Linked DNA regions of Drosophila melanogaster. The protein of the gene in region 1 interacts with the protein of each later gene in a pairwise test. Each region holds a gene or a part of one and is shown on either strand. Other genes may lie near its edges.

Region 1 (4,635 bases):
AGACTCATTTACAAAGTGTTTTTATTTGGCCGAGCAAGTTTGATCTGCCTTTGCAGATAGCGATACCTAAAAAAAAAAAAAAAAAAAAAACTAAAAACTTATTTCACACCGAGTGGTATATGAAAAATAGGTACATATATGTACGAACAATGCGTGGGAAGTGTTTTCTGAAGCGAGGAGAGCATAATTAAAACCTAGGCATAGTCAGCTGTGATAAAAGATCTTGAAATGCGATGGAGCAACAACAAAAGCCATGGGGAAACACTTGAGAGCCTGGGCATAAAACAAATAAAACCTGTATAAGGCAAATGTGTTGAGAGAACTTTGGAGATGCTGATACGATGATGTAACAAACTAAAGTCAGCTAACAAATATGTGATTGCGCGCGCGACTTTGTCAAGAATCGTTTGTTGGAAGAAATCTCAAGATTTTCAAATGTTAAATGCTTTACAAACGGATATCGTAGATCGTTGGTAACGGGCGATTAATCATTTAATTGGAAAATAACAAAGTCATTACACGTATTTAATGCACAATTCATTGATAATCAGGTATATAAAACGTATTTTGAAGACATTCGGCAGACATATTTGGCCATTATGGACAATTATCATCAAGTGTGTATAACTTTTGCATTAGGCCAACATTATTATTCGTAGAAAACAAACTTTAATGTTGGCCATAATGGACTTGGCCTAGAAGAAACATAGAAATAGAACCCATTTCCGTGATTTGTCTCCCTTGACAAAACTCCATTAGAAGTGAAATTAGAGCAAATCACAGCTTGATGGCTATAAATTAGGCTAAGTTGGCCGACTTGCGCTATCTTCTCCCTTCTGGCCAAGTTAGCAAACATGCCGGAGATGCCGAACAAAAGATGAGAAAACTACATATATACCAAAAACTGTGTCACTGCGAAAGATCGTGAAGATTATGAGTCAGTGTTTTCAACTCTATTGTTAATCTATTCTCGCCTGCCAGAGAATTATATTTGAAAAGGTCAGAGGTGAAACAGCTAACAAATTGCTCGGCTATATCTTGCAAATAATGTAAGATTTTGTTTACACTTTTGATAACGATTAAATTTCTCTGGAATATGAATGGCTCATATTCTACAGACCGATCTGAAATCAAAACTGGTTTCGCATTTTGTAAATAATAAGGCAAACTACACAAAGAGCAGTTATTGATTATTTAAGCACTCAGTTTTAAAGGAACTGAGAACGCATTTTTTTTTGACATACTTCAGCTATTCACTTCCCCCCGTTCGCATTTCGTTCAATTGGTGAGAGCTTTTAACGCCCCTTGGCAACCAAACAAACAAACAAATAATTAGGAAATGTTGGTGAAAGGGGGAAAGGGGTCAACACATACGATTAAGTGAGTCATAGATAAATGAAATTATTCAATATAAAACAAGCTGGCACTCAAATTGATCTTGAACTTGAGCCTAATTAGAAACTGTAAAACCATTTTTCTGTGTCACGTTTTTCAGTTTTCCTCATTTGCTTTAGGCGTGTTGGATAAAAAGATGGAACATTCAGATGCGCATAAAGTTGAAGCGGATTAACTAACGATCACCATCATGATGATCTAACGCTAATGTCAAAATGGTTCTCCGATTAGCAACAGAACCCGAAAATCGGCACGTTCGTGGAGATAATGAGAAATGGGGAAAGGGAAAGATGGTAGCGGAAAACGGGTCACTGTGAGAAAATAACGCCACAGAGCGAATGCCATCAAAAGCGATCTCACAAAATAACAGAGATTAAAACCAGACACCGTTTCTGCGAATTTTCTTGCATTTCAAACGACAATTTTCGAGTGCCAAAGAAGGTTCTTAGAAATTCGAAATATGTGATTAATGAAGAAATGTGCTTAATAAACTTGTCATTTAAAAAAAAACTCAACTGTATTTAACTGTTGGTTAAATAATATTTGTATAATGTTAAATTATTACTAATACTTGGGAAAATTCGGCAAATGTTATTTAGAGCGGCGTAAACGAGATCCCAAAGCGGAATTGGGATAAAGAGAAGTTTAAAAAGCAAAGGGGCGATGGGGGCGTGTGCGTGCTTGCTTGTGTGTGTGTGTTTGTGTGTATGAGTCAACGCGCAAAATGCGGGCGGCGACTGCACCTTGCACACCCCGCAAAAAGAGAGGGCGATAAAGCAGGAGAGAGCGGCAGCGAGAGCGAGAGAGAATAAGGTCAAGCGGGGTGCGGCAACAAATATTTCTGCTGATAGCCGTTGATAAAAGGCTCTCGCCGCCCTTCTCCTTTTCTTTCTCTCTCTCTCTCTATCTCTCGCTCTCCGTGTGCTCATCAGTCCGCTCCTTTCCTTTATTTTGCTGAATGGAGCACACACACAAAAATGCCAAGCGCAATACCTTTTATTTAGTTTACATTTAAATATTCAACAAAGCAAATAGCAGCAGAAAGATTTCACTGCTGAGTTTTTTTTTCACCTCTTGCTTTGCTCACACACATATACACACACACACACACACATCCACTTTCTTCGACGTCGACTGCAACGCCGGCAGCGGCGCCTTTTGGCGGCTTTTACAAATTTTGTTTATGAAACAAAAAACCCCTGTGTATATTCCTTTCTGGGATTTCATCGGTGTATACACCCAGATAAAAAGAAAGAATCTTTCCACACGGCAGACATCATGAAGAACAACATACGAAATATGCGTAATCACTCTATAATGCTTTAGCTGTAAATGCTTTTGCTTCTCTTTCCTCCTTTTTGCGTACTTCGTTTTCTTCCTTCCTTTTTATTGTATTTTGCGCGTCCGCTTTGGCCTGTCGCTTCGTTTGTTGTTGCTTTGCTGTGTTATCTCGCACTTGATGCACTAAACTAAACAAAAAAGTTACAGGCGCGATCGGAGAATCGGCAACTGATGAATTAACAGGATCGGAACGCAACAGTAAATTGGCTGCTTTTCGGTTTCTCTTCTCGTTCGCCGCACACCGCAATTAAAGTTCCGTTGGTTTTGCTTGCTTGAAAGAAACTAGTGTGAAAGTGGAAAAATACCACAGAGGTGCACCAATGTGACCGCTCTGCCATCGATCAATTATACCAAGCACAAGCATCACTAAGAATAACACAAAAATACCAATAAGTTCCGTCTTATATTGAGGTGGGTGTGATCGCTAAGGCTGGTGGGTGTACTCGCTTTGCTGGTTGATGTACTCGATAGGCGAGCGAGCGAGTTGTGCACTCGCTGGCGAGCGGTTTAAGTATCCGATAACTATGGTTGGTGCACACGCTAAGTAACAAGTGACCGCTAAACTGCTACTTTAACAGACACAACTGTGCATGTTAAGCGCACTCATCGTTCCGCCAGATGGCTTCTTTGCACACTCGTTTCGGTATTTTTTTTACACCAACTTACAGTATATTTTTAGGCCATTTCTGCGTGTGTGCGTTCGTGTGAATATTGTGAATATTTTTTTTACTGTGAAAATAGACAAAAATCGGCTGTGGAAAACCGAAGTAAACACATTTGGGAATCATGGCGATTGGCCCTTAACCTTAACCCTTAAGTGTCGTGCCGACAGTGCCACGCCACAAACCCAAATCCCAAAGAAACAAAAGCGAAAGAAAAAAAAAAAAGAACAACAAAAAGCTATAGTTGCAGCCTCTGAAAGTTTAAGACAATCGCCGATCCGATCGGAAGCGGAAGATATATGCTCGCCACACCAAATGGCATGGTAAACACCTCTCGTTCCTCTAAATGTGATGTCGATGTCGGAAAAGCCGTAGAAATCGTACAATTCCTAAAATCGCAAACTTAACCTCGCAGCGTTGTGTGCAAAAACGGAGAGGGGTGGGGGGGAAACAACGGAAAAAAAAGGCAACGCAAAGCAAAGCAAACGAAAAGCGAAGCGTGTGCGAGCGAGAGGCGAGTGAATAGCATTGTTGTTATTGTTGTAGTGACTTTTATTTTATCTCAGCCGGCGATTTAATTCTCTCGCACTCACACATATTCACGCGAATAAAAGTAAATTCAAATAAATACACTCGCAAAAACAAATTGGCACCGGTAACAATTCAAAAAAACTTATGCACATGTGTGTATGTGTGTGTGTGTGTGTGTGTGTGCACTTAGGAGCAGTTGGAGGCGTGGCATGTGTGTATGCCAATTAGTACGGCTAGTTGTTGGGTCGTTCATTTTGCTCCTTCCCGCTATCAGACTCGCTCTTTGCCCTGCATTTTCTCGCCGAGTGCAAAAGGAAAATAACAAAAAACCTCACTCCAATTGGAGATTCGAGATGCCGATCTCTAAAGCGCAGGCAGGGCAACAACAAAAGCGCCAAGAAGAAGACGGAAAAGGGAAAGATTCGAACTAAAACCTATTGGGATTTCATCTTGGAACATTAACCCTTAGGCGGGCTGAAATGTTGTTTAAATCATATTGAGAAATTTCCCAATAAAAGCGTATTGCATTTAAAAGGATGCCAAGTTTTTCAATTATACAAGTGTAGTTTATGAGCGTGTTTTTAATGAAATACCTAAACATGGCCAGGTTTTGGCAAAACCTCTGCTTGCATTCAATTATAGCACACACAATTATTTCACTGAAACTCAATTGATAATACAATACATATTTGGTAATTTCTTGTTT
Region 2 (5,306 bases), on another chromosome or scaffold:
TCGCCAGTAGTCCGCCAGTTGCGAATGGAGCAATTTCCAGCCGGGAGTGTTTGCAATCCTGGTACTATCCCGTGAGAAGGGCTGAAAAAGGACTGTAAAATACCCAGTTCCCATCTATAGTTATCTGTCGTGCCTGCAAGGGGCTACGGCAACTTTGGTGGTATTGACAAAAAAAAAACGAAAGATACATGTCACAGTTATCATATATAAATTATCAGTCATTTGAATAAATCATTATTCATTATTATTATTATTTTCACTTCTTGTTACAGATAAAGTTACATAAACTGCGTATACCCTCTTGTTCGGCACACATCCAGGGTACCACACGGCAAATATGTCCTGCAACGAGAAGACAGCGCTTCTGGCAACGCAACAAGGACATCAGCAGCGGCAGCAGCGGCAGCAGCAGCACATCATTGTCGTGCCCGCGACGGGGAAGGATCCAAAGGATTATGAGCCCATTTTCACAACTGCTGAGTAAACGCTTTCCGTCGTATTTCATTAAAAAATAACTTCGTTACACAGTGCCGCCTGCCCGCTTCTTTCGTAGCTATTCCTACGGACTGACGCTCGAGGAGCTCCTGCCCTTCGCTCTGGATCCCTGGTGGCAGGCCGTACGGCGCCTCAGCTGCGGGCTCCTGGGCCTGACTTTCCTGCTGACCCTGATTGCTGGACTGGTTATGGCCTATTCCGACAGTGTCTGTCTCCCAAATAGAGCAATTAGCAGAAACGCGACCACCACGACAACGATGGCCACGCCACTATCCTTGGCTCTCAACGGCTCCCAGCTGCTGATGGCCAGTTTATAGTGGCCGTAAGCTAATCTGTGTAGCATTTTGGAGATGCCGCAATCCACCCTGCGGAATTGCATCAGCCGCATCAGCTCGCACTATTAGCATTTGTTTGGCTTGCCGGTAATGGAGGCGACCTAATCCTCCTCCTCTCTACTGTTTACCCCTACTCAAGCTGAGTGATAAGCGATGCACCGCGGGATTGATTGGTCGTGAAATAATTATACTGATTAACTTATTTGCTACACAACCGCCTACTCGTAAAGTAAAAAGAATGCAAAAGGTATAAGGAAGCGTTTCCGTACCAATTAAGAACATTGTATCGCAAACTTATTAATTTTTATATATATACATATATATATATGAATATTACTTAAACTAATAAACGAATAGTTTTTTTTCATCGCTGTATTCTGGTTTCGGTTTCTGGGAGTTTAGAAGTTAACAAACCGCCTTATAGTTTTACAGCCCCACCCTGAAAAAATGGTTTGATTTAGTTTTATTTTATAAATAGTCTTGGCAATTTGTATACTTGTGAAAAAACATTTTCACCACGCCCACACTAGCGCGCACAATTAACAAAATCCTGTAGTTACAGAGGTGGTACTCTTGTCATTTTGGAAGTTTTATGTATTATGTAGTTTATGTATATATATAAAAAATATTTTCTTAGAATTTAAATTATTTAAAATATTATTATTATTATATTATATATTAACACATATTTATTTATTTATTTATTATATATATATATATATATATATATTAATATTATAAAAATTTAAGAGTTAGTAGCTGATCGCATTTCTGATAGTTGAGGAACTCGACTGTAGCGTTTTCTCTTGTTTCAATTTGCCTTTTTTTAAATATCTACACCGTTACTACATATTTTTTACATGACACAGTAGCGCCATCTGTGCACTTATCAGTGTTGGATAGCAGCGGCGACTTCGATTAAGCAATCGATTATTTGTTGCATATGTTGTTTACGGCAATTGTTTATATTTATTTACTGCTGGTGAAGTGATTATTCGTGATGGATTTTGACAGTCCCGAGGAGAAGGAGTTTCCCGGGCTGTACGCCTCCGAGGCGGCGGACGCTAAGTCGAGGAAGAGCAAGGAGGAGAGCGACTGTGAGTGGAGCGCAAAGATGTGGGCGTAAGCTGGGAAAAAATCAATGGGCTCACCTTGCCTTTACAGTTAGTGAGGATCACGACCATAGCAAGAAGGACTTGTTGATTGGCCGGCGCAAGGACAAGAAGGAAAAGGGCAAGGATCGAGGATACGCCGCTCTGGAGGGCGAGAGCTCGCCGGAGGAGGAGCTGGACACCAAGTGGGTGCAGGTCAGCTGACCCAGAGACAAGTAATATTTTTTCTTTTACTTCCAGAAGTCCATCCAAGTCGAAAAAGTCAAAGACCTTTAAGTTCACCAGCTCCAAGAGCAAGGAGAAGCGGGAAAAGTCGCGGGACAAGTCTGAAAAAGACTCGAAGCACGCAGAGGAGGAGCCTTCCGTCTCCCACAAGGTCAAGGAGAAAGAGCGGGATAAGGAGAAGGACCGTGATGAGCCCAAGAAGAAGGACAAGGAGGAGAAGCGCAAGGAAAAGGACAAGAAGGCTGACAAGAAGGACAAAAAGGATAAGAAGAGCAAGCAGCTGTCGCAGCAGCAGGACGACGTCTCCGCCGCGGAGGAAGTGCTGGCACTTGGGTATCCCGTCTTTGGGGTGTCCGTTAGCTTGGCGACCGAACGATCCCGCTGCCACGACGGCGTGGACATTCCCCTGGTTGTGCGCGACTGCATCGACTTCCTGCAGGATCACCTGAAGTGTGAGCAGATCTACAAGATTGAGCCCATCAAGACGCGTCTGATGCACTTCAAGCGGTTGTACAACAACCGGGAGCACGACTCCGCCGTTGATGAGCTCAACCTGCCTACCGCCTGCAGTCTGCTGAAGCTCTTCCTGCGCGAACTGCCGGAGCCACTGCTGACCACCGATCTGGTGGCCCGCTTTGAGGAGGTAGCCTCTCATCCGAAGGTAACCACGCAGCAGGCAGAGCTGCAGCAGCTGCTTGAACAATTGCCCAAGTGCAATCGCACCCTCTTGGCGTGGGTGCTGCTCCACTTCGACGCGGTGATCCAGCAGGAAAGACACAATAAGCTCAACGCTCAGTCGCTGGCTATGCTGCTCAGTCCGACGCTCCAGATGTCTCACCGACTAATGGTGGCCCTACTCTGCCACTGCAACAACTTGTTCGCGGACGTCCAGCTGATAAAGTGAGCAAACACCGGCTAGCCGGATAACAGTGGTGGGAAATATCCAAGTACCTTTGTGTTGGTAAAAGAGAAGTCCACATTTAACAACTATAGTTAAATCACAAGAACGAATCGAAGTCATAGCTCTGAAGTTAACTACTAAACTGTTAGTTTTAGTAAACTGTTAGTTTCCATATTTATCTAATGATATAAATTGTTTTTTTATATGTATAATAGGTACTTATAAGAACCCAGATAATTCCCACCACTGTTGGCAGTTGATAAGATTGCTGCTATAAAAATCGCCAGATTTAGTCGTTTATTTTGCAACCGACGATGAGCACATTACCCCGTAAACAGAAGCGCTTTCCACGTTTCGCCAGTTTTCTAATCAGGCAGAATGGCACACATTTAAACAAAGTTATCATAATACTAAATTGTCATCTCTTAGGTATGTGCCCCCTTTAACATCGACCAGCCCAAAGCTTCCGGATACGCCGGAGGACATCCAGACGGAGTTGCGCAAGCAGGACAGCCTCCTGTCCCAGATCCACAGCGAGATGAACGCCGGGTTCATTACCAAGAAACGCGAGGAACAGCTGTGGGAAGTGCAGCGCATCATTACCCAGCTGAAGCGGAAACTACGAACTTTTGAGAAGAAACAGGAAAAGACTGCGGAGGAAGTAGACAACAGCAGCAGTGCTCCGCCCGCTGTAGCCAGTGAAGATACCACTGACTCCAAACCAGCTGGAACTCCAGCCGTATCTACGAACAACAGTATTTCCCAGGAAGAGCCAAAAACCGATACACTAACTCCGAAAGATGCTCCTAACGATTTTACTATTGATCCCAGCACTGGCTTTATTTTGCTCCCCAAATCAAATCCGCACCGCGAAAATTTGCTGCGGCTCCAAATTGAATATGACGAGCTAATGGAATGGCAGAACGAACTAAAAGCACGTATCGTCGCCGAGCGCAACGAAGTCTATAGGCTCAAGCAGCTGTACGAGCAGCAGTCAATAAACAGTCAAATGGCCTCCTTGGCCTCGGGATCTCAGGCTCCCCCAGAATCCGACTATGAGCGGATAATCGAGCACTATACACGGGAGAATGCGCTGCTGGAGCACAAGAAGAATATGCTGGGCATGGAACTAAAGGAGGAACGACGGGCCTGTATTGCTCTACAAGTTGAGCTGCGGCTCCAGCAGTTTTAATGTATTAATTCGATTAATGTATTACTTGGATGGGTCAATTTGAGGGATATAACTAAGTTCCTATTCCGGAAACTTAATGGTCACATTTCCAAAGAAACATAAAAGGTCTACTAGGCAATCATAGGAGGTTTCTTAGATTCGTAGAAGACAATTCTATGTCACATATCTAAAATATTCAAATGAATAAACTTGTAAAGTTTTTGATAATTCATTTATCTGCAAACGTAGTCACTGTTCTAAACAGTGTCCTTTGTGAATTGCAATATATGAGAATTTTCAGTTCAGCTTTTAAGGAGATAAAATACTGCTAAAACATAAAACGGATTCCTCATGCCTAAAGTCAGTTTATTGTTTATTTGGAAATGAGCTAGTTTCAGACTTGACCCACCGAAATATATGTATGTATATAGGGTTACCAATTTTAAATCTCAATGTCTACTTGCGATCAAATGCTTTGTTCAAACTATAATTACTGTTAAACGGCGCAAAGCCCCAAAGAAATCTTGTTAGACAACTTTACTGCTTTCAACAATTAAATGAGAAAACAAACTCAAAATTCCCTTTTCTGTACTGAACTATTGCATCGAAATATGTCTCCTCGAAGAATTTTGTAAATGCCGGTAAAGTAGCTGCGTTTGTGTGTGCCGACAATCAAGATCCGATTTTCTAAATCGGTCTGATGACTTAATTCCAATCCGAGAAATACAGGGCACAGATTAGAAGATGTTTAGACGACGGATTGGCTGTTCGCTGGGGTGAAACGGAAATGACATCATCTCATATTACGTCTTGTCAACATTGTGATGGTCAAGGAACCGAGGTGGGCTTTGCGTGTTACGATTACTTTATTTAATATTTATTATTAATAATTTTAGAATACATTATCATTATGCATTACGTTCGGGGCGTGTTTTCTGTATTCCGCTGAAGTACAACTTAAAAATATCACACACAAATACCACGGGGGAAAGATGAGTCCTCCGGAATGCCAAACCGCGTCAACTCGCTCCCCTCCATGATTAAGTTATTTCCGCTGGACTACAGAT
Region 3 (4,940 bases), on another chromosome or scaffold:
GATCCACGCAGATGCCCACCGGACGATTGGCATTGACATCCCGCGAGAGCCTCACAAGCAATTGCCCGATCCTTTTGTGAAATGTGCGTTGTGCGGAGCTAAAGTTGCTGCCATTCCTCAGTGACTCCGAGTAGTGATTAGGGTGAAACTTGCAGGGCCAGTGCTTAAGGGTCTTCTCGTACTGCACCCGCAGTCGGGGCATCCGTTCCGGCACCTCCACCACCCGGACTCCCTGGCACAAAGCACGGAGCACGTGCTCCGAAAAGGCAAACTGTTCAAGGTGTTGTTCCAGGCTTTGAGACACTCCGATCTCTGAGCTGGGACATATGAGCACGCTGCGATCCTGGACGCGCTTTAGGTGTTGAAAGTGGGGCAATTTCTGTGAGAGCTCCTGGATGACCGCCTGGAGCTGCTGTTTCGTCTCCAACTCGCAACTGTGCGCCTTGATGAGCGCAATATCCTCGTCGAACTCATCGGAGAGGATGGCCCGGATCCCAGTTATGTCTTCATCCAGATTGGGTGATTTTCGAGCACGTTTGTTTGGTGGCGCGGATATATCCATTATTTACTTAATTCTTCAATTAGAAGAATGCCAATTGGAATCGATTGAAATAGGTTATCGATAAGTGCCAAGCGCTGGCGTTGAAACAGCTGTTTGGATATTAAGCGCCAACTTTGAAAAATGTCTTCTATTTAAAATATGCATTTAAAAATAATTTAGTGAAAGATTATACGTTTAAAAGTCTTTAAAGCTATTTAGCTTGGGAGCTGTTTCAAATATTTCCTACTTTTGATATACATTCCCTAATACTTAATCTAATCAGCTCAATAATCTGATCAATTGTCTAATTTGCATTATAATTCCTTACAACCAATATCTTTTTTGATGTCTACATGTAAGCAGTGCCCAGTCTGATACCCAAAGTTTAAATTCAAAATTCCAGTGAAATATGTGCTTGTGATTTCTAGTCAAAACTTAGAGGAAACATCGAAATGTGTCTGCGCTTGTTTTGCGGCTATTTGTCGCTTTACATTGGCTGCATCTTCATCGGCTTCACGGGGATGCTTCTAGCTTTAATGGTCTTTTCTGTGGGTCTATTCGAGATGATCAAGGGCAATCCGGAAACAGTGCTTGTGGTCATGGCAATGGTCTTTGGCATTGTCCAAGCCCTAGCTAAAATTCTTCTTCTCCTCGGAACGATGTGGGTAAGTGAATACTTTTATCCTTAAATTTGTAAAGATATCCAATCGCTGTTCTACAGGACATGTGCTGGGCCATGCTCTTGTCCTTTTTTATAGGTATTGCGGCCCTGGGGCTCCTCATCGCACTTGTGGTGCTCTTCTACATCCTCTTGTGGGACCCTCTGCACCTCCTTCTGGGCGGTTTTCTTAGCATACGTAAGTTGGTGAAAAAATTTTGAATTTCTTTTGGATCTGAAAACAAAAGAAGATAGAGAAGTAGATTAATACATTAACTATCGAGAACTTCTTTCTATAACACACACACAACATATAACACAAACAAGCAACAAAACGTAGTGGACTTAAAAAGTACATAAATTCTATTCACGTTCGATTTTTAATTAAAATAATATTTTTCTCTTATCCAGTCGAGATGTACTACGAATGGGTCATCATTTCAACCTGGTGGTGCTGTCGATCATGCACCCACGACTGCTAGGAGTTGCAGTTGGTTCCACTTGTTGCATGCATAGAAGATACAAACATACCATGTTGGAGATCGAACGCCTTGGAATGAGCATACTATGCAACTCTCAGCGATCTTCGCATCGGATGTAATACTGTGAGCACCGAGAGAGAGAGAGAGAACTTGTATTCGAATCCCCCCATTATTTGTGTATGAGGTGACTTCGTGCTCGGGTCTTCCGACTTGAGTGTCTTTCAAGTAAGTCAGTTCACTCTGAGACGCGCGCTGGATATGTCGTTCCTGGAGCGCTCGAGCTGTTCCTGCGAATGAGCGTGTGTGTGCCAGTGTACCGCCCCCTACCCGTCAAGAAAAAAAAAAGGAAATAAAAATATCGGCAGGAAAAATATCAAAAATTATATCTGAAAATACACAAGTGTATCTGCAAGTGCAGTCGTATATGTGAGACGAGAGTGTTTTCCATTTGCCGCAATTAGAAGTAACGGTGCGAAGGTGATTTGCACGGGAGAAACTGGAAAATCAGCGAAGCGCGAGATACTTGTATCTGCAATTTGTGTGTTTTCGTTTTGTTTTCGGTTTCGCAAATAGCAAGTGAAGAGCCCATTACTTTAATTCAATCAACGATCGGTTGTTGTGTGGCCCGCTTTTGGAGAATCCCCACAATTTGTTCTAAGCCCAAATAAAAGTAATAAAATAAAAGCCCCAACCCCAGAGACAGAAGTCCGTGAGCCGGTTTAGTCATCCGAAAGTTCCGAGAACTGAGCGCAACATTGAGATACATTCGCGTATTCTCATTCCGAATCGCTGGACACCAGCTGTTGGCCACAATGCCTCCGTACCTGCTGGATATTTGCCTTACCTCGGAGCTTAGTAGACCGCGATAAGATATCGGCGACTAGTGGTGAATAAAGCCAGATACTCGTACTCGAAACTGCGAAAACGTCCATATACGACAAACAAACGGAAAAGAAAATCGCACAGTTCGGTGCCAGTGTTTAAAGTTAAATCGAGCGCTTATCTTATCGGCCAGCCATTGATTGAGCTTTGCCTTTCCGCTCTGCACCGGGTGAAGTCATTTGGCCACAATTCGCCCGTTTTAGATACTGTATCTGCGGCCATATCTAATGCAGCAGCCAAAGCAGTCGCGATAATAACGACCTCCTTCAGTGTCAGTTGCTCTGCAATCGCCGTCTAAATTTAGAGACAGATCAGGCGCGAGGGACCAGATCTGGCCAAAACCAAACCAGACGCACTCGGAAATCGTAAATCAAGCAGCCGGAGGAGACCAAGATGGACATAGAATCCGATTCGGACACCTCGGAGAGATGGGAGGACTTTTTTGGTAAGCGAACGGGATCACTGAACTTCTGCGTGCAGAAATGACATGACTCAGCGGGCTGGGGAGGTGCACTGAGGAAAAATCACGTATCAATCACAGATAGAGACTAGTAATATTGGTTTTCAGCATTTCAGACGACATTAGTCTACATTTTAATAATCCGTCATTGAAGGCATAAGAACATACAAAAGCTTAGGGTACTATATGTTTACAGTAGGATTATGAATAATATACATATGTCCCGATCTTATATTTCTTCCTGTGTGGGAGACACTACGCATTCTCCAAGAACTCCAAACTCCGAATATGGACTTGCGTACAAGAACAGACCATCAAGTTGGCTTTCTTTGGCTCGGCGGGTTGGGGGATGGTGATGGAATGGGGATTGCGGCTGGTGCTGGGACTGGGACTGGGGCCAATGCATTTGGTGGATCGACGGCACCGTTCCGTTCCCATAACTGTACAAAAAGTGGGGGGAAAATAAAATAACAACCCACTGAGTGGCATTGCGTGAATTGCGGTGTAACGGGTTCGCTTTGTTTTTGCATTCCGCTTTTGCGCAGTCCGAAATTTTTCGACATTATTTAAGCGCTCGAAAAGTCGGTTGTAATGAAATTTAATGATAATACATAATTTCGGGCCATTTTGACCCACATATTACCATACAAGTGTGGCCAAGAAAAGGTCTGTCTTCGGATTTGCAATTTATGTTTTGGGTGGCTCCATTCGGTTTGCTGACCCACTTAATTCGTAACGCCGATTTGCTTGTAACTTTGTGGCACATGCTGCATATTTGTTTTTCTTCTCACCGAAAGCTTTCGTTCAATTAAGTGCATTAGTCATAAGTCTTGACACTGCGTTTCTTTTGTTGACTTTCTTTATTATTATTGCACGCCCGCTAACAGCGGATGTTAGATAACGCCGCCCTTAGCGCAACAGCGCTGTAAGTAGCTCTGTTAGTTAACCCATGTTAGGCCAAAGAAGGTTTCCAAACTTATAATAATCAATAGTAATATGTATATGTAATAAGTAATATGTATTATCATACTAATTGCAAGTAACTCTATTAAAACTGTAAAACTGAATTTAAGCAATCTTTTGGCCAACACAATTCCAAACCAAATGTGTGAAGAGAGAGAGAGAGAATAACTAATTTAGTTAAGTACCTTCAAAAAACTGCCCGAAGAAAATAGTTTAAAACGGGTTAAGATGGTGCGTCAATTATTGATAACGGACACTGCGAATTCAGCAAGTGGCCTTTGTTATATCAATTATATACACATACATGAGTAGGGCGAATGAATCATGTATAGGTGATGGGGGGGTGTTGCGGCATTTATGGGTTTGTTCTGCTGATCCCACCAGCTTAGACATAGACGATTGTGCAAGTGGTTGACATTTGGCGGGGTCAGCAAACGTGACGCCATCTGTCGGCCGCATGTCCAGGATATTACCGATCGCATCGACCTATAAATAGAACCCGCCGAATGATATCGCCAGCAGTTGACCGCATGCACTATCAAATGTCACCAGTTCGTCTTCTTTTGCCCTTTCCGTCACCGTGTTTGTTTGCCTCTTCAACAACAGAGTCAACTTCAATTCCAGACAAACAAACAAAACGGGGGAATAAGAAATTTTCATCTGTGGACACAAGTGCATGAGCGCAAGGGGGCAGGGTGCCAGGTCAAGTCGTTGAATTACCACTCGTAACCACAAACACCACGGGAGTCTGTTCATTCGATATTGTTAAAGATTGTGATCTGAGGAAACCTTTTTGGGCCCTGCGGTTCGCCATCGATTCTCTTGTGACATTTATTTGGCTGGCCTGGCTTTCATATTTGGTTTATTCAATAAATACTAATAGATATCGATGGTAGTAGGGCTAAGGCGTTGATAAGATTTCGCCGCATGTATTTATTGACTTTTTGATAAAGC
Region 4 (5,357 bases), on another chromosome or scaffold:
CGATTCTGCTGGACATGCTCCTCCAGCATTTCAATTCGTAGAATGGAGCAGATCTCCGCCAGCGTTTCCAAGTGATTAATATGTATAATAAAGGGTCGCATGGTGTCATAGAGAATGGTGCACAGACCCTCCAGATAAACCCTGTGGGAAAAATGAGATCAATCCTATTTTCCAACTAGATGTACGAGTATTACGTCAGGTGTGGCGCTCCTGTGCTGAAGAACTGGTAGAACAAACGCTGTTCGTCCTGGCAAACATGCACCAAAAAGGCGCAGGCGCTTCGGGTGAGAGAGCAGTGATCCCCTTTGTGGGCCACCTTAACGTTTTGTATGGACAGATTCACTGCTGGCGACATAACGCTGGCTCTTTGCGCCAAGTAGTGCTGTTGAAGATCCGCCATTAGTTGGGCGTAGTCGAGGCTGTGTTCCGACCGGGACTCAATCAACTGGGCGACCCGCTTCACTTTTGCCGCGGCCGTTTGATATTTGCCGTAGTACAGAGCGAATGCGGCATCTGGTGCCTTGAGAGCAGCGGAGGCATCCGGCATATTGTTCTTGGGATGGAGCGTGGCCTCGGTTGCCTGGTTTATCACACTCGTCACATAGTTACGCACCAGACCCGAGGCTTTGGCCAGGCACTGCCTGTACTTCACATTGTAGGCGGCCGCATCCTTGAATTTGGGCTGTGACAATGAAGGATATTAGTATATACATGACCGAAGTGTAACAGACAAGCTCACATTCTCCTCGATGTAGTTTAGGCATTCGTCGATCTTGTTGAGGCACTCCCGGAACGCTTCGCTAGCCACCGAAAGCGTGGGGCTCTGAAGTCGTTGGTTGAGCAACTCCACCTGGCTGAAGTAGTGCAGACGGCGTTGAATCTCGTGACTCAGCTCCTGCAGTCGCTCCTGCTCCTCGATCAACTGCTCGCTGGCCGTGTTCAGAGCGCTGGTCTTTTGCGACACAAAGTCGTACTCGTCGCAGAGGGCACCCAGGCGCTCCATGGCCCCAGCGATCTGGTCCAGCATGTGGGAGCACTCCGCTTTGCGCTGCTCCAGCTGCTGCAGGTATTTGTGGTAGTCGGCATCGCCACGTTGCTCGATCTCGGCGCTGACGTCCGCGAACCAAAGCAGAAACTCATTGGTGTTCTGGAGTCCCTCCGCAGGTAGTCTGATGTCATCGCCGCTTTGCGAAGTTGCAGCTGCCGATGAATCGGTAGGACCCACCTGGGTGGGCGTAGTCGGTGCCGGTGCCTACAAAGAGTCGGGTTGCAATTATACGATTGCCATTCGAGGAGGAGTCGACTCACCGATGGTCCGCTGTCGCGCCACAGATTGGTCAGGACGTCCAGGTGCTCCTCTTGCTGGATACTCAGAGCCGCCAGCGGGTCCGTTTTGGACTCCCATTGCATCAGGCGATTGCGAATCTTGCGCAAATTCTCATTCTCGCTCTGAATTCGTTCGACGTCATCCATTTTTCTGCGGCGGATTTGGAAACAATCAATCAGCTGTTCAGAGATGACCGGTCTGCGCCTTCCAGTGCTGCTCAGCAAGGAGACTTAGCTAGAACTAAAACTCTTGATTGATATAAGTTGCCTTTATTTGAATGGTATCATATGTTAAGTAATCTTTAATTTTAGATTTAATACATTTTAAGCTCTTTTTATGCTCGTCCGTTTCTTACATAAGTTTTATATTAAATATCTGTCTGTTTAGCTTGGCGATTACTTAGCCAAGATTTCACCACTGACGGGACGTTTTCCATCACTGGCAGCATCAATAAAGTTCTGTTCTCTATTGTTTTTATTGCATTTTGATCAGTTTTTCCGCATCATATAGCATACGATGGCGCCGCAGCCAGTGGTTACGGGGCTATCTCCGAAGGAGGGTCCTCCTGGCACCCGCGTTATCATTCGCGGCGAGTTCCTGGGCACCCGAGTGCAAGATCTAATTGGTAGGCGTAGCCTGTCCCAAATAGCTTCTGTTTTCTGATGACTTTCCCTTCCAAAAAAAAAAAATGTAAGGTCTAAAAATCTGCGGTTCAGATTGTCTGCTGTCGGCGGAGTGGAAATCACCCAATAAAATCATCGCACGCACTGGTCCGGCGAAGGGAAAAGGCGATATCATAGTGACCACTTTAAGCGGCGGAGTGGGCACGTCCACGGTTCAGTTTCGTGCATACCACGAGACCATTGGCCCGCTCAAGGAGTCCGCCGTGTGGATCGAGGAGTCGCCCTCGCAGAATTTTGCCTGGGGTCGGCGCACCCTAGCCCAATCCGGACTGACGCAGGAGGATCCACTTGGGCTGTCCATCGAGGGTAACGAGCAGAAGATCCCCGAGGACCTCCGCGATCTCTTTCCCGAAGCCTGCGGGGATCTGTCGCAGGAGCACTTCTCCCCGGCCTGGTTCCTGCTTGAAAATCACCTGGCCACCTCCTTCGAGGATCTCAAGGCGGGCCTGTCCTACTTGAAGCGGAAAGTGGAGAGCCAGAAGGAAGGTCAGTTGTCCTTCCTCAAGTCCAATGCAGGCTCGGTGATTGACCAGCTCGATACGCTGATGAACATCCGAGACAAGCTGCAGGAGGATGTCAAGCTACACGGCAATGAGACCCTAAATATCTTGGAAACATCCATAGAGAGTGAGTGGGGTTTATAGATTAAGATATTTAATTCTAAAATTGTTCGACTTATAGACTCCATTAGCGAATCGCAAAAGATATTCACGGATGTGCTGGTGCGCAAAGAGAAGGCGGATTCCACGCGGTCCGTTCTGTTCGCCCTGTCGCGGCACAAGTTCCTCTTCTGTCTGCCCAATTCGGTGGACAGACGTGCCAAGGCGGGTGAATATGACATTGTGGTTAACGACTACTCGCGCGCCAAGAACCTCTTTGGCAAGACGGAGATTCCCATTTTCCGCAAGGTGCTCGAGGAGGTCGACCACAGGATTCTGTCAATAAGGAAACAACTGCACGAGAAGGTGGTCAAGATGCCACAGAGCGTGGAGCAACAGAAGAAGCTCATCAAGGCGCTGATCAGTCTGGAACTGCAGCAGAGCGGAACTCCCATTGGCGATAAACTGCGCAACATCGATCCCGCCTGGGATGCCATCGAGGCCAGAGCCAAATATCTGGAGTGGACATTTCGCCAGACATTTGATCAGCACACCAGCAAGGATTCGGGTGCCCAGGAAAAGGCAAAGAACAGGGATTCCAGCCAGGCGCCCAATCGGGTTAACTTCTGCGAAGAACTGTGCGACATTGCCGCCTCCCAGCTGCCGGACTTGTGGCGTCTGGGCCAGCTATACTTCACCGGCGAGCTACGCGGACCTCATGATCCCAAGCCAGGGGATTTCAAGCGAATGGTTTTGAACGCCATCGAGAAGTTCTGTGTCTACTTGAGGTTGGCCATTCTCATTGCCACGGATCAGCGCGCCCTGCGTCAGTCCAGCGGCTTGGCTTGGCCCATCGGCTCCGCATCGGCAACACATCAGTTTCTACCCTGGATTCCGCAGTGCCTGCGTTTCACGAGGATAGCCTATGCCACGCTCATCAGCCTGGATCTGCCCTCGGAAGCGCTGGACATCATACAGAAACTGATCGATGAGGTGCGACTTTTCTGCTTCTCAATTATCTTCAAACGGGCCACGGATCGGTGCAAAAAGCTGGGCAGCCAGGAGACCTGGGAACTGGGCGTGGAGGAATATCCAGGTGCCACATTGTTACCCGCCGCCTTGGAAACATTGCTCATCGAAACGCTGGACGAGGTGCAATCTGTGTGCATGCAAAGGGAGACCCGGGAGGGCAATCTCCTCGAGCCGCAGTCGGATGGACAGAGAGAGGTGACACAGCGACTACAAGAATTCCTATCCGCGTTTAGCGCGGTGATCGAGGAGCTGGCCTTCCACTCCCACGACGAGGAGACGCCCACCCACAATGTGTCGCAGCTACTTGGATTCCCCAATGCCCAGCAGCCAGATTCGGTGGCTGGAAGCGGCGGAGCAGCGGCTGTGACCTGGGAGCAGCGCATGCTCTGTTGCCTGGCCAACTATGCGTACTGCAACAAGATCTTCTTCCCGCGCCTTGGTGACATCTTCGTTCGCTACGGTTACCCGCTGCCCACGCTGGCAATCGAAACTGCTCGCTACACGGTTAACCAGCTCTTTACCAATCTTCTGGAGGAGTACGTCGAGCATAAGGGCGATCCGCTGGTCGGCACCATCGAGCCCTCCATGTATCTGGGTCGTTTCCAGTGGGATCACGAGATGGAGATCGGCCAGCTGCGTCCTTACGCTCACGAGTGCTGCGATAATTTGGTTGGTGTCTACTCCGAGATCTACAGCATTTCACCGGCACTGCTGCGACCCATCCTGGAGTCCATTGTGCAAACCATATCCGAAGAGCTGGCCCGTCTGATGAGCTGTGTCCAGCGCTTTAGCTTCACGGGAGCGATTCAGGCCCACGTGGATATCCGTCTATTGAGGGACTCCCTGGAAGGTTACGTCAATGAGACTGCCAAGTGAGTGATCTAAATGAAATACCTATGAATTTCAATAATTCTTCTAATCTGCAAAAGGAACTACTTCATGGAAGCGCTGGAGGCCATCAATCCGCCCCTGAGTGGCGAGCAGAAGCGTAAGGCGGACGAGATTCTGGAGCGGGTCAAGCGGAACATGCGTCTGCAGCTGCTCTGCTTCAGTGTCAAGGACCCCTAGGCACATTCCACTGCAGGGCGCAGCCCATGTAGATAGCGTATACTTTAAGTAGCTTGTGATTACCCATGTTCTAGGGATAAATCTTTATTCGATTGCATAACTCTCTTACTTACTACCACGACTCACAAGCCCAACAGCTTTGGGTCAAAGTTGAAGTTGTTCTGAGCCATGGTCTTGATGACCTGCTCCACATCGATGGTGTTGAACTTCTCCTGCACACGCTGCTTGATGGGGTTCTCGATGGCGTCCATGATCTGGTAGCGCAGCAGGTTGGGAATGACGTTCACCGCAAACTCCATGACGTAGTCCAGCGTTCCCGCTCCGTCACATCGCACCTGTATGTTGCCCATGTCAAACTGCAGATCGGTGATCTGCGCCCGCTTGCGTGTGTCCAGGGATTGGCTCAGGCCAACGGTGGCGCGTATGTGCTGAACCGTAAATTGTACGTGACCGACGCGTGTCATCATGCCCACACCCACCTCCCACTGGCCGGCTCCCGTCACCTGCTGGGTGCCTATTTGCAGAACGACCGACACCGTTTTGTTGGCCATGCCAGCGGTTATGTTGCCCACGCGGTAGAAGCTAGAGATTCCATTGATCCAGGTGTGTGCTAACTGGACACTGAACACGCCCATGGTGCGATTGACA

The links.
Region 2: the proteins of Rala (region 1) and Rlip interact in a two-hybrid assay, tested with the Drosophila melanogaster proteins (6 studies listed by BioGRID).
Region 3: the proteins of Rala (region 1) and GEFmeso interact in a two-hybrid assay, tested with the Drosophila melanogaster proteins (2 studies listed by BioGRID).
Region 4: the proteins of Rala (region 1) and Sec5 interact in a two-hybrid assay, tested with the Drosophila melanogaster proteins (2 studies listed by BioGRID).

What each region holds. Positions count from the first base shown.
Region 1 is NC_004354.4:3,716,602-3,721,236, forward strand, and holds the start of Rala (Ras-like protein A), read right to left. Parts: upstream 3,035-4,635; 5' UTR 2,762-3,034; intron 67-2,761; exon of another isoform or gene 1-66.
Region 2 is NT_033777.3:21,015,948-21,021,253, forward strand, and holds Rlip (Ral interacting protein), read left to right. Parts: upstream 1-1,736; 5' UTR 1,737-1,830; coding exon 1,831-1,927; intron 1,928-1,994; coding exon 1,995-2,127; intron 2,128-2,182; coding exon 2,183-3,067; intron 3,068-3,497; coding exon 3,498-4,260; 3' UTR 4,261-4,806; downstream 4,807-5,306. Other genes in the region: CG5697 (uncharacterized protein), read left to right, coding at 338-480, 554-812. UniProt on the Drosophila melanogaster protein: Participates in receptor endocytosis during interphase, is also involved in mitotic processes when endocytosis is switched off.
Region 3 is NT_033778.4:18,608,749-18,613,688, reverse strand, and holds the start of GEFmeso (guanine nucleotide exchange factor in mesoderm), read left to right. Parts: upstream 1-1,911; 5' UTR 1,912-2,956; coding exon 2,957-3,008; intron 3,009-4,940. Other genes in the region: CG10927 (uncharacterized protein), read right to left, coding at 1-562; CG42697 (uncharacterized protein), read left to right, coding at 994-1,206, 1,263-1,398, 1,611-1,681.
Region 4 is NT_033779.5:3,455,563-3,460,919, forward strand, and holds Sec5 (secretory 5), read left to right. Parts: upstream 1-1,739; 5' UTR 1,740-1,843; coding exon 1,844-1,952; intron 1,953-2,022; coding exon 2,023-2,637; intron 2,638-2,691; coding exon 2,692-4,513; intron 4,514-4,570; coding exon 4,571-4,709; 3' UTR 4,710-4,805; downstream 4,806-5,357. Other genes in the region: Cog3 (component of oligomeric golgi complex 3), read right to left, coding at 2-141, 195-682, 740-1,252, 1,309-1,473; CG3246 (uncharacterized protein), read right to left, coding at 4,832-5,357. UniProt on the Drosophila melanogaster protein: Component of the exocyst complex involved in the docking of exocytic vesicles with fusion sites on the plasma membrane.